Linked DNA regions of Macaca fascicularis. The protein of the gene in region 1 purifies or fractionates together with the protein of each later gene. This does not show direct contact. Links are inferred from orthologs where the notes say so. Each region holds a gene or a part of one and is shown in the gene's direction. Other genes may lie near its edges. The genes, in order: MAPK3 and DUSP6.

Region 1 (6,949 bases):
TGATCTCGGCTCACTACATCTGTCTCCCGGGTTCAAGTGATTCTCGTGTTGCAGCCTCCCGAGTAGCTGGGATTACAGGCACATGCCACTGTCCCCAGTTAATTTTGGTATTACCAGTAGAGACAGAGTTTTGCCATGTTGCCCAGGCTGGTGGTCTCAAACTCCTGGCCTCAAGCGATCCTCCCGCCTCAGCCTCCCAAAGTGCTGGGATTACAGGCGTGACCCACCACTCCTGGCCCAAGTTGCTGCTCTTAACTGTGAAGTTCTCCGGCCTCCCACAGTTTATTATTATCCCTGTTTCCCCGGTAGGGAAACTGAGGCCACAGAAGTGAAGCCCCTTGCTCAGGATCAGCAACGGTGACGCGACAGAGGCTCAGAGCCCTGCCGCTGGGTAACGGCAGCAGCTTGCCCAGCTGGTGGTGCAGGTTGGCAGATCTATTGAGTCCCAGGGGCCCTGGCTGGAGGAGATGTGCAGCCTCGCCTTCAGAGCCTGTTTTCCTTAACCAAGTGCCTCCCGCTGCCCCCTCCCCGGGGGTCTCCGGAACCATCCTCAGCTACATTGTGCAGGACCTGATGGAGACTGACCTGTACAAGTTGCTGAAAAGCCAGCAACTGAGCAATGACCACATCTGCTACTTCCTCTACCAGATCCTGCGGGGCCTCAAGTACATCCACTCCGCTAATGTGCTCCACCGGGATCTAAAGCCCTCCAACCTGCTCATCAACACCACCTGCGACCTTAAGGTCAGAGGGTTGGGCACCTGTCCCCTCCTCCCCCAGGGTCTGGGGCTTCCAGGTGACCAGTAGAAGCCTTGGGCAGGAGAACATTGCAAGCAAGGGGAACAGTGGAGGCAAAGACAAGGGGGCGTGACTGCTTAAGCTGCAGAGGCCTTGAGCACCGAGCTTAGCAGCTTGGTCTGATTCCAGATTTGCGATTTCGGCCTGGCCCGGATTGCCGATCCTGAGCATGACCACACCGGCTTCCTGACGGAGTATGTGGCTACACGCTGGTACCGGGCCCCAGAGATCATGCTGAACTCCAAGGTAGGAGGGGCTGCCCACTCCTGAAGGGAAGGGACCAGGTCCCAGGAAGCCCTGGAGCTACCTCCGAGCCAGATACCGACCCCCATGACACAGGAATTCCACCCTCTGGGCCTTGGGCTCTGCAAGGAAGCTGAGCATTGAGCCCTCCAGGCCTCTGCCTTCTGCCTGGTGTTGGATCTAACTTGGAGATGGTGGCTTGGTGTAGAAACAGGACCCTGTTGAGGCTGGCCCAGGAGCCCACCACTTCCTCCTCTCTCCCAGGGCTATACCAAGTCCATCGACATCTGGTCTGTGGGCTGCATTCTGGCTGAGATGCTCTCTAACCGGCCCATCTTCCCTGGCAAGCACTACCTGGATCAGCTCAACCACATTCTGGGTGAGGGAGGCCCGGCTGGCTGAGTGGGGGATGATTACCTTCTCCAAGGTGAGATTTCTCAAGAGTCCAAGTCAGGGATACCACCACGTGTGGGGCGCCTCCAGCATCTCATGGTATCTCAATGAGGTATAGATATTATCCCCATTGGATAGATGGGAAAAGCAAGTCTAAGTCCCACACCTAAGGAGGCACCAGACCTAGGATTTGAGCCTCGGTCTGCCTGAATCCAGCCCCCTTGCTCTGCACCACCATGCTAATGACTAGGAGGTAACTGAGGGATTGGCATGGGTTGCTGGGCTGGGGGTCTTGTTCTTGCCTTGTTGCCTGTTCTGTTCCCAGAAAGAAGGAGGTGATCATTTACCAAGTCACCTCCTTATCCACAGGCATCCTGGGCTCCCCATCCCAGGAGGACCTGAATTGTATCATCAACATGAAGGCCCGAAACTACCTACAGTCTCTGCCCTCCAAGACCAAGGTGGCTTGGGCCAAGCTTTTCCCCAAGTCAGACTCCAAAGGTTTGAGAGACATGAGGACGGGTGTGGGATAAACCCTGGGTGCCATGGAGGGTACGGGAGCCCAGCAGCAGCTGGAGGAGACAGGCAAAGTGATGCTTCTGGGAGCTTCTCCAGTCTTCCCTGTGACCCCTGACTCCTGCCCTTCTATAGCCCTTGACCTGCTGGACCGGATGTTAACCTTTAACCCCAATAAACGGATCACAGTGGAGGAAGCGCTGGCTCACCCCTACCTGGAGCAGTACTATGACCCGACGGATGAGGTGGGCCAGTCCCCAGCAGCAGTAGGGCCAGGGGCAGGGGGGTAAGTAGGCATCCCCCATGCCAGGCCTGAGCCTTGCTGTCTCTGCCACCCCAGCCAGTGGCCGAGGAGCCCTTCACCTTCGCCATGGAGCTGGATGACCTACCTAAGGAGCGGCTGAAGGAGCTCATCTTCCAGGAGACAGCACGCTTCCAGCCTGGGGCGCTAGAGGCCCCCTAACCCAGACAGACATCCCTGCACCCTGGGGCCTGGTGAGTGTCCCCATGGCCGGCACACAGATACGCTGATACTAAATACCTGTATCTATATCTATCTATATCTCTATCTGTATCTGTATCTATATCAATATCTATATCTGTATTTGTATGTGCCTCCATATAGCAGCAAGCTTACCCTGCACCCATGCTCGGTGTGTCTGGTGACAACAGAAGTGCCCGGGGGCTGGGTGCAGTGGCTCATGCCTGGAATCCCAGCACTTTGGGAGACTGAGACTGAGATGAGTGGATCACCTGAGGGTCAGGAGTTTGAGACCAGCCTGGCCAGCATGGCGAAATCCCATCTATACTAAAAATACAAAAATTAGCCAGGCACAGTGGGTCACTCTGGTAATCCCAGCACTTTGGGAGGCTGAGGCGAGTGGATCACCTGAAGTCAGGGGTTCGAGACCAGCCTGGCCAATGTGGTGAAACCCTGTCTCTACTAAAAATACTAAAATTAGCCGGGTGTGTAGGCATGCGCTTCTAGTCCCAGCTACTCAGGAGGCTGTGGTGGGAGGATTGCTTGAACCCGGGAGGCGGAGGTTGCACCACTATACGCCAGCCTGGGCAACAGTGAGACTCTGTCTCAAAAAAAAAAAGGGGGGGCCAGGCACAGTGGCTCACATCTGTAAGCCCAGCACTTTGGGAGGCCAAGGTGATGGATCACGAGGTCAAGAGTTCGAGACCAGCCTGGCCAACATGGTGAAACCCCGTCTCTACTAAGAATACAAAAATTAGCCAGGTGTGGTGGCGTGTGCCTGTAATCTCAGCTACTTGGGAGGCTGAGGCAGGAGAATTGCTTGAACCCAGGAGGCAGAGGTTGCAGTGAGTTGAGATCACACCACTGCACTCCAGCCTGGACTACAGAGCAAGACTCCATCTCAAAAAAAAAAAAAAATGCCCAAGTGCTGCCCAGACTCATGGCCCACCCAGTCCTCCAGCCCCAAATGTCTCCACCTGTCAACACCCTGCATCCTCCAGCCCCAGCAGCCATTCTAATCTCCTTCTGGGAACAGAACTGGTAAAGAGGCAAGAGGTCACTGAGGGGCCCTGTCACCCAGGCTTCGGCTCTGGGTGTGGCAGAAGCAGGTGGGGCCATGATTGCTTTGGGAGGGGCCCAGCAGCACCCAGCCTGACCCAGATTGCCAGGCCTCCTCACACCTGCTGCCAGATCAGCAGTTCACATAGCTGTGGGGACCCTGCTGGGCCTGCCCCCACCCACACTGCCTCCTTGCCTCCTCTGGTCTCTTCCTGTCTTCAGCCAGGTGTGGCCTAATAGGAGGAAGGCGTGCATACCTGGGCTCAAACTCCAGCTGTGCCACTTAGTAAGTGCTGTGTGATATTGGGCAAGGCACCTCACCTCTCTGCACCTCAGTTTCCTGGAGTCAGTTCTATTTATCTTTTTTTTGTTTTCGTTTTTTTAAGACAGTGTCTCACTCTGTCGCCCAGGCTGGAGTGCAGTGGTGCAATCATAGCTCAATGCAGCCTCAAATTCCTGGGGCGCAAGGGATCCTCCCAGCTGGCTGGACGAGCCATTGCAACTGGCTAATTTTTTTTTTTTTTTTAAAGTTGGGGTCTTGCTATATTGCCCAGGCCAGTCTCAAACTCCTGGGCTCAAGTGACCCACCCACTTCGACTTCTCAAAGTGCTGGGATTACAGGCATGAGCCACTGTGCCCAGCTGAGACTGTTCTAATAATGAAAGCATAAAACCCTAAGCATTGTTCTAAGAGGTTTACATGTCTTAATTCCTTTAATCTTACAGCAGTACCTCCAGCTAGGTACTATTATTATCTCCATTTACAGATAAGGAAACTGAGACCCAGCCTATCCAGCTGTGAGGGTGAGAGACGTTCAGGTCAGGGCTCCCGCGGGTCTGCCTGGGGTATGCTAATGACTCCTTTTCTGTCTGCTTCTCTCTTTAGGACCTGCCTCCTGCCTGCCCCTCTCCCGCCGGACTGTTAGAAAATGGACACTGTGCCGAGCCCAGACCTTGGCAGCCCAGACCGGGGTGGAGCATGGGCCTGGCCACCTCTCTCCTTTGCTGAGGCCTCCAGCTTTAGGCAGGCCAAGGCCTCCTCCCCAGCCGCCCTTCCCACAGGACCTCGGGGGCTCAGGTGGCCCCAGTTCAATCTCCCACTGCTGCTGCTGCACCCTTACCTTCCCCAGTGTCCCAGTCTCTGGCAGTTCTAGAATGGAGGGGCTCTGGCTGCCCTGACCTGCTGAGGGGCAGGGGTGGAGGGTGGGGGGCGCTGAGTAGGGACTCAGGGCCAGGCCTGCCCCCCTCATCTCATTTAAACCCCACCCTATCTTCCCTGAAGGAACATTCCTTAGTCTCAAGGGCTAGCATCCCCGAGGAGCCGGACTGGGCTGAATCCCCTCCCCGTCAAAGCTGTCACTTCGAGTGCCCTCGCTGCTTCTGTGTGTGGTGAGCAGAAGTGGAGCTGGGGGGCGTGGAGAGCCCAGCGCCCCTGCCACCTCCCTGACCCATCTAATATATAAATATAGAGATGTGTCTATGGCTGACCCTGGCTCTGTCTGTGTTTGCGACGCCTCCGCCCTGCCCCGTGCAGCTCTGAGGACAGACTCCTGCAGCCCAGCTGCTGCTTGACTTGGGCTTTCTGGGGCCTGGTGCCCTTCACTCCCAGCTGCCCAGGGTTGGGGACGGGGCTCTGGAGAGCTCCAGACTCCTAGAAAGAAGGGGGTCAATTTTCCCCTTGGTCACTGTCCTGTCCCCACGCTAATGGCTTCCTGTCTAACTGGTTGGGGGTGATTCAGGAGCACCCTACACATCCCTGGATCCTCTGAAACTGCAAGGGGTAGGCATGTTGGATGTGCTGGCTACAAGCACCAGTGGGAGGGAGAGGTCCTAACAATCCTGGGTGGTTTTTACTCCCCCGATGTGGCCCAGGACAGGGGGATGCTGGGGTCTGGGAAGGGCTTGGGGATGTGAGGGCCAGGGCTGCTTGCCTCATCTGATACTACCCCGGCTTCAGCTGAACCCTGCAGCCTGGCTCCAAGCCAGCCCAGCGGCAGGCTCAGCAGGTCCCACGGGCGTGGCAGTGGCCAGTAGTAGAGCCGGCCCACACCGGCTAGGCAGGCAGCACAGTCCCACGGACGGCTGAGTGTGCGGCTGCAGGAGCTTCTGTGGGAGTACAGACATGAGCCTTTCGCTGTACTATGCCCTTCCCGCCCTGGGCAGCTATGCCATGCTCTCCATCTTCTTCCTGCGCTGGCCTCACCTGCTGCACACGCCCCGGGCTCCCACCTTCCGCGTCCGCCTGGCGGCCCACCGAGGAGGTGAGCCGGGTGGGGGTGAGAACAGGTGCCAAAGTGGACAGCAGAGAAGGGTAGGTCCAAGAGCGCGTGCTAGAAACAGGGCAGGGACCAAGAGAGAAGGAGAGCAAGGTGGCAGGGCAGGGTATGGACAAGGAAGAAGAGGCTGGTGCAGCCTGGGCTGGCTGGGGAGGTAAGGCCAGAGGGAGGATGGAGCCCAGAGAAGGAACGTGGGTGATGAGGTCGGGCCAGGCCCCTAGACCCCAAGCCTCAGGGGCCCACTCCAGTGTCCCCCACAGGATCTGGAGAGCTGCTGGAAAGCACCATGGAGGCCATGGAGAAGTGAGTGTATCTGCCCCTGCCCAGGCTGTCATGTGAGGGTGTGCAGGTCGTGCACTGCATCACAGCAAGGGACACCATTCACTTCCTAACCGGATGACTGGCGCCCCCTGGAGGTGGCCTGCACATCCCGCGGTGAACTCTGCTCTCACATTCCCCGCCACCTCCCCACCACCATGTCCATCATCCCAGTCCCCTGCCCCCCAAACCCCCGCCGCCCCGCAGCTAACCTTCGCCCCCACAGCTCCATGGCCCAGCGCTCAGACCTCCTGGAGCTCGACTGTCAGCTGACACGAGACAAAGTGGTGGTGGTGTCACATGATGAGAACCTGTACCGCCAGTCGGGCCTGAACAGGGATGTGGGCAGCCTGGACTTCGAGGTGGGCCCTGCCCTGACACCCCAACCCCCACCCTGAGAGTCGCCATGCCCAATGCAGGCCTCTAGTGACATCCTTCCTGTCCTCCCCAGGACCTGCCCCTCTACAAGGAGGAGCTGGAGGTTTACTTCTCTCCAGGTGAGAGCAAGGGCTTCAAGCCCTGCCTGGGCCATGCCCGCCTTCCCTGGACCCCCGCTTTGGCTTTCCTCTCTGACCCCTCTTCCCACACCACCCCCAGGCCACTTTGCTCACGGGTCAGACCGGCGCATGGTTCGTCTGGAGGACCTGTTCCAGAGGTTTCCAAGGACACCCATGAGTGTGGAGATCAAAGGGAATAATGAAGAGCTCATCTGTGAGGTGGTGCTGCAGGCAGGGCTAGGGCGGCCACCGGGGGCGGGAGAGAGGCCTGGTTCTTCTATCACCTCCTTCTCCTCCTCCCAGATAGCAGACTTGGTGAGACGCTATGACCGTAATGAAATCACCATCTGGGCCTCGGAGAACCGCTCG
Region 2 (7,666 bases), on another chromosome or scaffold:
GTCTGTTTATTCTCTGCTGCTTTCCTGGAATCTAGAATAAATGCGTCAGTGAATGAATGAAGTGAGGCCCAGATGACCAGTGAGTGACAGAGGTTTGAACCCAGGCTTATGTGCTGTGCTGATGCACTAGATAAGCAATGGCACTTGATGGCACTTGTGAAGATTAGGATCTATGGCATATTCTAAGGGAGAGAGAAGACGCAACATTTAGTGAATGGCTGACTGATGAAGAGTTGCGTGCAAAGAAAACCACTGATGTGTAAAAGGAGCAGGGAAAGTAGCCTAACTTTTGATCTTTGACCTCTGTAGGGAGGATGCAACAAAAAACGTGAGGCTGGAGAAAGCCTGGAGGTCAAAATTCAAAATGCTTCCCTTGAGATTCTTCATATGTGGGCAGGGAATACCACGTGGAGGTGAGTATAGTGTCCACAACACTATATATAATCCGTGCATGTGGGCATCCTTAAGAGTCTGTAAAGGGTTTGGCCTCACGTCTTGACACTCTCTGTTGCTACTGTGTGACCTTGGGCAAATTCCTTAATCTTTGTAATGGGGATAATTTACGTCTTTTCTGAAGACTGTCCGAAATTATGCACGTAAACACAGAAACAACACGATACCACCCATCGTGTAGTAAGTGCCTAATAGGCATTGTTATATCAGTTTGCTGTGACTGGAGAACACAGTGTTTCAAAGGTAACCAGTAGAGAGAAGTCAGAAATGTAGCTGGGTCCATTCTGATAATCGTGCTAAAGGATTTTGATCCTGGTCCACGATAACACCTCCTTTACTTGACAGCTGAATTGGAACGGATTAAATCGGTTAGGGTAGTACCTCAGAGGGCTTTCCTGGAGATGAGCGAGTGCAGGCGGGCTGTCAAGCAAGCCTCAAGGGGCATCTGTGGGATGCCCAAACCGTGCCCCCAAACCGAGGCCTTTTCACAGATCCTCAATTCAGAAGCATAAAAAATTAATTCCAACAGCTAATAGCACCCCACCATCACTTTAGGACATTTCACCGTACCCATTTTGTTGTCACAGGGACCCTATGAAGCAGATAGTTTTATCTTCATTATAAAGAAGACTGCAACTTAGAACAACTAAATGATTTAACTAAGGGCGCATACCTAGGAAGAACTGGGGGACATAATGCAAACGAGGGCCGTCCCACTCCAGAAGCCCTTTTCTCAGCATTTCTAGGACTGAGCGGTCAGAACGCCACTTAGCCAATGCGCCAGGAAAGATCGGCATTCCCTTGGCAATAGAGTTCAGAAGCATGGGTAAAAACTACAGTTTCGATGTATCCTCTCGAATCTATAGTCATAGTCAGGTAGCTGCGTATTAAAACAGGCAAAGTGGAAACCCAACTTCCCTCCCTTTCTCTTCTGTTGGAGGTGCTGCGCTGAATCTCCAACAGGTTTGCTCTTCTCAGTTCCTCTGCAGGGCATCCTGCCTCTTCCCTCCCTGTCCCCAGGTCCCAATGACTGAAACGTCTCGGGGTGGGAACTTCTGTGACAGATCGGGGAGGATAGGGGGAGTCAACTCCAGCGCAGGCCTCCCACGGCTGAAACTAAAAGATACCCAGTGAAATATAGGAGTTTTGTTCCAAAGGCTGCCCAAAAATGGTGCGGAGAAGAGCTCGGCAATCCCCACCTTCGTCGAACACGCTCCTCCAGGGGCGGCCTGCCTGCAGCAGAGCTCCAAAATTGGCAACCTGGGCCTCGCAGCCGCCTTTTTTTAGCCTACATTTCCCAAACCAGGGAAGAGGCGGGTAACTAAAAATGCAAATTGCAGCGGGGGTGTCAGCAGGCATGCCCGTGGGTGCGGGGCGTCGGGCGAAGGGAGACCCCGCGACCTTAGGCGCCCTCGCGGTGTTCACGGTGGGCGCAAAGCGCAGCGAGGGACGCTCCCCAAAGCCGCACCCCGCCGGGCGGCTGCCCCCGCTTCCGCCTCTCAGGCATCGGCGGGACAAAGCGCGGCCTCTTTTCCGCCGGGGTTTAGGGAGGGGAGGCCGGATTAGGGCCCGCGCCTTCCGGCCGTGGCCCTCCCGCGCCGAGCTGGCCGCACACAGGTGGTTTTCCGCTCGGGAGGGGCAGGCCTCGGCACTTTTATATAACAATAGAGCTCTGCGCGCCGGGAACGCGCCTCCCCGCCGCCGCGGCCCCCACCCGGCCACGCCTCCATCCGGCTTCCAGTCCGTCCGCCCCGCGGCGCCTGGGCCGAGCGCTGCTCACTGGCCTGGCCGGCACCTCCCCAAAGTTACCTGCTGGCTCTGCAGGGCGGTAGAGACGTTCCCCTCGACTCCTTGGGAGCCAGGAGCCAGGGGGGTCCAGGCAGGCACTCGTCCTTGCTCCTCCCACCCGCCCCACATCTTTATGGAACCGGGAGTCCCGCGCTCAGCCCAGTACCCGTCCACTGCATCGCGCACAACCCCCTGCCCGCCAAGCGGGGAGACGGGGACAGCGGGGCGGTGGCAGGGAGCGCAGCGCGCAGGCGCGACTAGTGCTCCCCGGAGTGCCCGGCGCTGGACAAAGGGAGGAGGCGGCGGCAGGAGAGGGCTGGGGAGGCCCCCTCTGACATGCCTCCCTGCCAACTAACCAATCGTCAAGCCCCCCTGCTGAGGCCCCGCAGCCTGCAGGCCTTCCCCACTCCTCGCCCATGGCGGGGACTGCCGGCCTGGCCCGGCGCGTCCCAGCACACCTCGCCCAGGCAGCCCCGCCAGACCGGCTCCTCCGTCAGAAGCCGAGCTCCTTGCCCAGAAATCATTAACGAGCGCGACCCCCCAGCAGGCGACGGTGGTGATGGGGTGGGGGGAGAGATTTAGATCCCCGGAACAATGGCTTGTAACTCCCCACGCCGCTGGAGCGGAATACAGTAAAAGCACTGGACTGACCTAAGAGTTTGTTTCTGCACTCTACATTGTTTTAAAGAAAATAAAATGTTACTTTAAGAAAAAAGGTTTCCTTCTGATTTTCTGAACAACCAGACGTTTGTTTGTTTGCTTTAAAATGTTTCAACAAAATCCTGGTTTGTTTCGAAATATGTTGGATTAGCATTTAACACCTCATCGGTCACTAAAGCCCAGTCAATTCACCAGCCCCAACACAGCCTCGGCTAAAAGAACATCAGAGCAAACAGAGCTAGGCCTTTAAAACTGGCAAACAAATGCCACACACCGCCTAAAGAAGGGGGGTTGGGGGAGGGGAGGGTTAAGGCGAACTTGGGTCCAAATGAGTTTGAAGAGAATACAAAGAACAAAAAGTCAGCACAAGTTTTCCTAAAGCTAGCTCGCGAACGCTAGCGTCGCGAACAAGGGCTTTTGTGCATGCTAATTGCGCCATTGGTGCGCAAAAGTTCCGACGCGAAGTGTGAACTCTCAACAGAAGGAAACATGAGACAACTGAAGTGCCCTGGTTTATGTGCCCTGCTCCTCCTCCGCTGCCGCCTCCCCTTCTTTCTCCTTCCTCCCGCCGAGCCCGCTGTTGCAGCTTGTTTGCACTGGGGCTTATCCGGAGCGGAAATTCCTTTCCGTTTTTGTGAATGACAAACTCATTAACAATTCATCAACACAACCTGTTCCAGCCGGCCCGTCCCCACGGCAACAGCCCCTTCCGCAGCACGCTCATTGGCTGGCCCGGAGAATGTATCCATTGAGACGCTCGCTGTTTGTATCCATTGAGGAGCTGCCTCGCGCAGGGGGTGTGCGAGGCTGAGTCCAAGGGATAGTGAGCAAATCGAGTCTTAAATAATCCGGGGAGAAAGACGCCCGGGTAGATTTGAGGTGCAGACTTGGCGGGAGGGATTAGGAACCGCTAGACTTTTTTTCCTCCCCTCTCAGTAGAACTGAGTCCGAATTAATTGGATTTCATTCACTGGGGAGGAACAAAAACTGTCTGGGCAGCTTCATTGAGAGATTCATTGACACTAACAGCCAGCGGCTGCAGCTGGGTGCAGAAAGAACCTCCGGCTTTACTTCTGTCTCGTCTTCCCCAACCGCTAGCCTCGGCTTGGGTTAGGCGAGGCGGAATTAAACCCCGCTCCGAGAGCGGCAGCTTCACGCGCAGCGCGCTCGGCCTATGCCTGCCCCGAGGGGCGTCTGGTAGGCACCCCGCCCTCTCCCGCAGCTCGACCCCCATGATAGATACGCTCAGACCCGTGCCCTTCGCGTCGGAAATGGCGATCAGCAAGACGGTGGCGTGGCTCAACGAGCAGCTGGAGCTGGGCAACGAGCGGCTGCTGCTGATGGACTGCCGGCCGCAGGAGCTGTACGAGTCGTCGCACATCGAGTCGGCCATCAACGTGGCCATCCCGGGCATCATGCTGCGGCGCCTGCAGAAGGGCAACCTGCCGGTGCGCGCACTCTTCACGCGCGGCGAGGACCGGGACCGCTTCACCCGGCGCTGCGGCACCGACACAGTGGTGCTCTACGACGAGAGCAGCAGCGACTGGAACGAGAATACGGGCGGCGAGTCAGTGCTAGGGCTGCTGCTCAAGAAGCTCAAGGACGAGGGTTGCCGGGCGTTCTACCTGGAAGGTACGCGCCCGGGGAACTCCGCGCGCGGGGCAGGGCGAGGGGCGCAGGGCTGCGGGCGGGGCGCGTGGACTGAAAATGCCTCTGCTGCGCTCAGCTGGCGCTTCGGAGCCGCGCTGCTAGCCTAGGGGCCGGCAGCCGGCAAGGTATCGGCCGCGAACCGCGCGTTCCGCACCAGAGAACCGGGCCGGCTCAGAATCCACCCGCTTCCGGCTGCGGGTACCGGCGGTTTCTTTCTAACGGGTTCTGCGCCTTCTTACCCAGAACATTCTCCTCCATCACCCTATTTTCTATCGTTCGATTTTGAATTAAGATTTGGAGGACCGGAGAGATTGTTGGGGATGCAAATTGGCACATCCTAGCTTTCAAAATATTCCAAAAAGTTGCCATTTTGTGTATTTCCGGATTCAAACGAATAAGGGTTCTCTGGCGAGGCGGGCCCGTTCGTTCCATTCCCGAGGGTGCACATTTAAAGTGTATTTCTATTATTTATGGTTCTGTATGTAGGGGGTTCGTAGGGTGCTTGTGGTGTTTCTTGCGCCGGGTTGCGGTTCTTACAAGCTGTGAAAACTACTACGGCTTCTCGGGTTACACGATTGCTTTTCTCGTTCTGGCAGGTGGCTTCAGTAAGTTCCAAGCCGAGTTCGCCCTGCATTGCGAGACCAATCTAGACGGCTCGTGTAGCAGCAGCTCGCCGCCGTTGCCAGTGCTGGGGCTCGGGGGCCTGCGGATCAGCTCTGACTCTTCCTCGGACATTGAGTCTGACCTTGACCGAGACCCCAATAGTGCAACAGACTCGGATGGCAGTCCGCTGTCCAACAGCCAGCCTTCCTTCCCGGTGGAGATCTTGCCCTTCCTTTACTTGGGTTGTGCCAAAGACTCCACCAACTTGGACGTGTTGGAGGAATTCGGCATCAAGTACATCTTGAACGTCACCCCCAATTTGCCGAATCTCTTTGAGAACGCAGGAGAGTTTAAATACAAGCAAATCCCCATCTCGGATCACTGGAGCCAAAACCTGTCCCAGTTTTTCCCTGAGGCCATTTCTTTCATAGGTGAGACTAATTAATAGTAGTCGTTCTGACATTTAAATGCAAAATTCCCAGCCATTCATAGAGTTTAAGCTGTTAATCGTTCTTGCTGCTTGCTAATTTGTCGTACTGCAGGTCTCTAATTTTCCTAAAGCGTCCTTAATTCTGGTTTATCTTCTCGCTAAGGGAAGAAAACCTGCCTTTTGATATGGCTGCAGATTACAGGTGTATTTGAAACGCTGTTTCTGTGAATCTTTGAATTCAGTCATTTGACAGTCGTTCATAATCGGACAACAGATTTTTCCCACAGTCTTGGACTCAGGGGAAGGGTCAGATAGAAGTATTCACTATAGACAGAAATTCCAGCATTGCTTTATAATTTTAAAAAACCTAGGAGTTATTTTAGGACGTCAAGTTAGTTGTTGGAAAGCAGTATGAATGCTAAATGTTATCCAGTTGAATGATACTGTGATACTGGTAACAGTGAGACAGTGGGTAACCTGAGCCCAGAAGGAAGAACTGTGGGCTGGAAGCCTGGGAGAAGTGAATCTCCAGGCATTGTAATGCATTTCCTATTACAAAGGAACTCATTTTCAGGCCATGTCGACATCCTGTTCCTCCTAATGGGCCGTCCCCTGTGACTTCCCTCTCTCTTTTAAAATGCCTGAATACCTCCATTGTTAGCTGCACAACATTTGGAGAATAATTTAATAGACCCTTGCAGTCTGGTTGTCTGTATAAAAGGCATTCACGAACATATTGCAGGGTTTCTGGTATTCACATGCTGAGGCAAAGAATGCACCCATTAAGGAGTTTTTTGTTGGCAGAAACTTAATACAAAAGCTCTCTTTTCAGAAAATATCTGAAATATGTAATTGTGTCCAGTGTACATGTTTAATTTCAATGATACATTTTCTGCTGCTTGTAGGGCTCAACTGCCACACACAACTATTATTACTATTATATTTTTAAGTTCACTTCTTAGACTGATCATTCACAAAGGGTGGTTTTCAGTCTACTGAGATCTTGCTTTTCTTTTTGTGTTCACAGATGAAGCCCGGGGCAAGAACTGTGGTGTCTTGGTACATTGCTTGGCTGGCATTAGCCGGTCAGTCACTGTGACTGTGGCTTACCTTATGCAGAAGCTCAATCTGTCGATGAACGATGCCTATGACATTGTCAAGATGAAGAAATCCAACATATCTCCTAACTTCAACTTCATGGGTCAGCTGCTGGACTTCGAGAGGACACTGGGACTCAGCAGCCCCTGTGACAACCGGGTTCCAGCACAGCAGCTGTATTTTACCACCCCCTCCAACCAGAATGTCTACCAGGTGGACTCCCTGCAATCTACGTGAAAGACCCCACACCCCTCCTTGCTGGAATGTGTCTGGTCCTTCAGCAGTTTCTCTTGGCAGCATCAGCTGGGCTGCTTTCTTTGTGTGTGGCCCCAGGTGTCAAAATGACACCGGCTGTCTGTACTAGACAAGGTTACCAAGTGCGGAATTGGTTAATACTAACAGAGAGATTTGCTCCATTCTCTTTGGAATAACAGGACATGCTGTATAGATACAGGCAGTAGGTTTGCTCTGTATCCATGTGTACAGCCTACCCATGCAGGATTCGAGGACTTCCAGGCGCATAGGGTAGGACCAAATGGTAGGGTAGGAGCATGTGTTCTTGAGGGCCTTGTAAGGCTGTTTCCTTTTGCATCTGGAACTGACTATATAATTGTCTTCAATGAAGACTAATTCAATTTTGCATATAGAGGAGCCAAAGAGAGATTTCAGCTCTGTATTTGTGGTATCAGTTTGGAAAAAAATCTGATACTCCATTTGATTATTGTAAATATTTGATCTTAAATCACTTGACAGTGTTTGTTTGAATTGTGTTTGTTTTTTCCTTTGATGGGCTTAAAAGAAATGATCCAAAGGGAGAAAGAGCAGTATGCCACCTCTTAAAACAAAACAAAACAAAAAAATTGTGCTCTTTTCTAATCCAAAGGGTATATTTGCAGCATGCTTGACTTTACCAATTCTGATGACACCTTTATGGACACTATTATCACTAAGAGCTTGTTATGGCGAAGTCTTTAGTCTTTTTCA

Evidence for each region.
Region 2: the proteins of MAPK3 (region 1) and DUSP6 purify together in Homo sapiens (affinity purification with mass spectrometry; 7 studies listed by BioGRID and IntAct, with this or other methods). This does not show direct contact. The link is inferred for Macaca fascicularis from reciprocal best matches to the Homo sapiens genes MAPK3 and DUSP6.

What each region holds. Positions count from the first base shown.
Region 1 is NC_088394.1:27,977,204-27,984,152, forward strand, and holds the end of MAPK3 (mitogen-activated protein kinase 3), read left to right. Parts: intron 1-554; coding exon 555-744; intron 745-927; coding exon 928-1,044; intron 1,045-1,305; coding exon 1,306-1,420; intron 1,421-1,803; coding exon 1,804-1,935; intron 1,936-2,085; coding exon 2,086-2,195; intron 2,196-2,290; coding exon 2,291-2,413; 3' UTR 2,414-2,445; intron 2,446-4,375; 3' UTR 4,376-4,976; downstream 4,977-6,949. Other genes in the region: lysophospholipase D GDPD3, read left to right, coding at 5,612-5,750, 6,026-6,068, 6,310-6,445, 6,535-6,580, 6,681-6,799, 6,884-6,949.
Region 2 is NC_088385.1:96,314,761-96,322,426, reverse strand, and holds the start of DUSP6 (dual specificity protein phosphatase 6), read left to right. Parts: upstream 1-3,669; 5' UTR 3,670-4,133; coding exon 4,134-4,533; intron 4,534-5,147; coding exon 5,148-5,585; intron 5,586-6,611; coding exon 6,612-6,919; 3' UTR 6,920-7,666. UniProt on the Homo sapiens protein: Dual specificity protein phosphatase, which mediates dephosphorylation and inactivation of MAP kinases. Has a specificity for the ERK family. Plays an important role in alleviating chronic postoperative pain.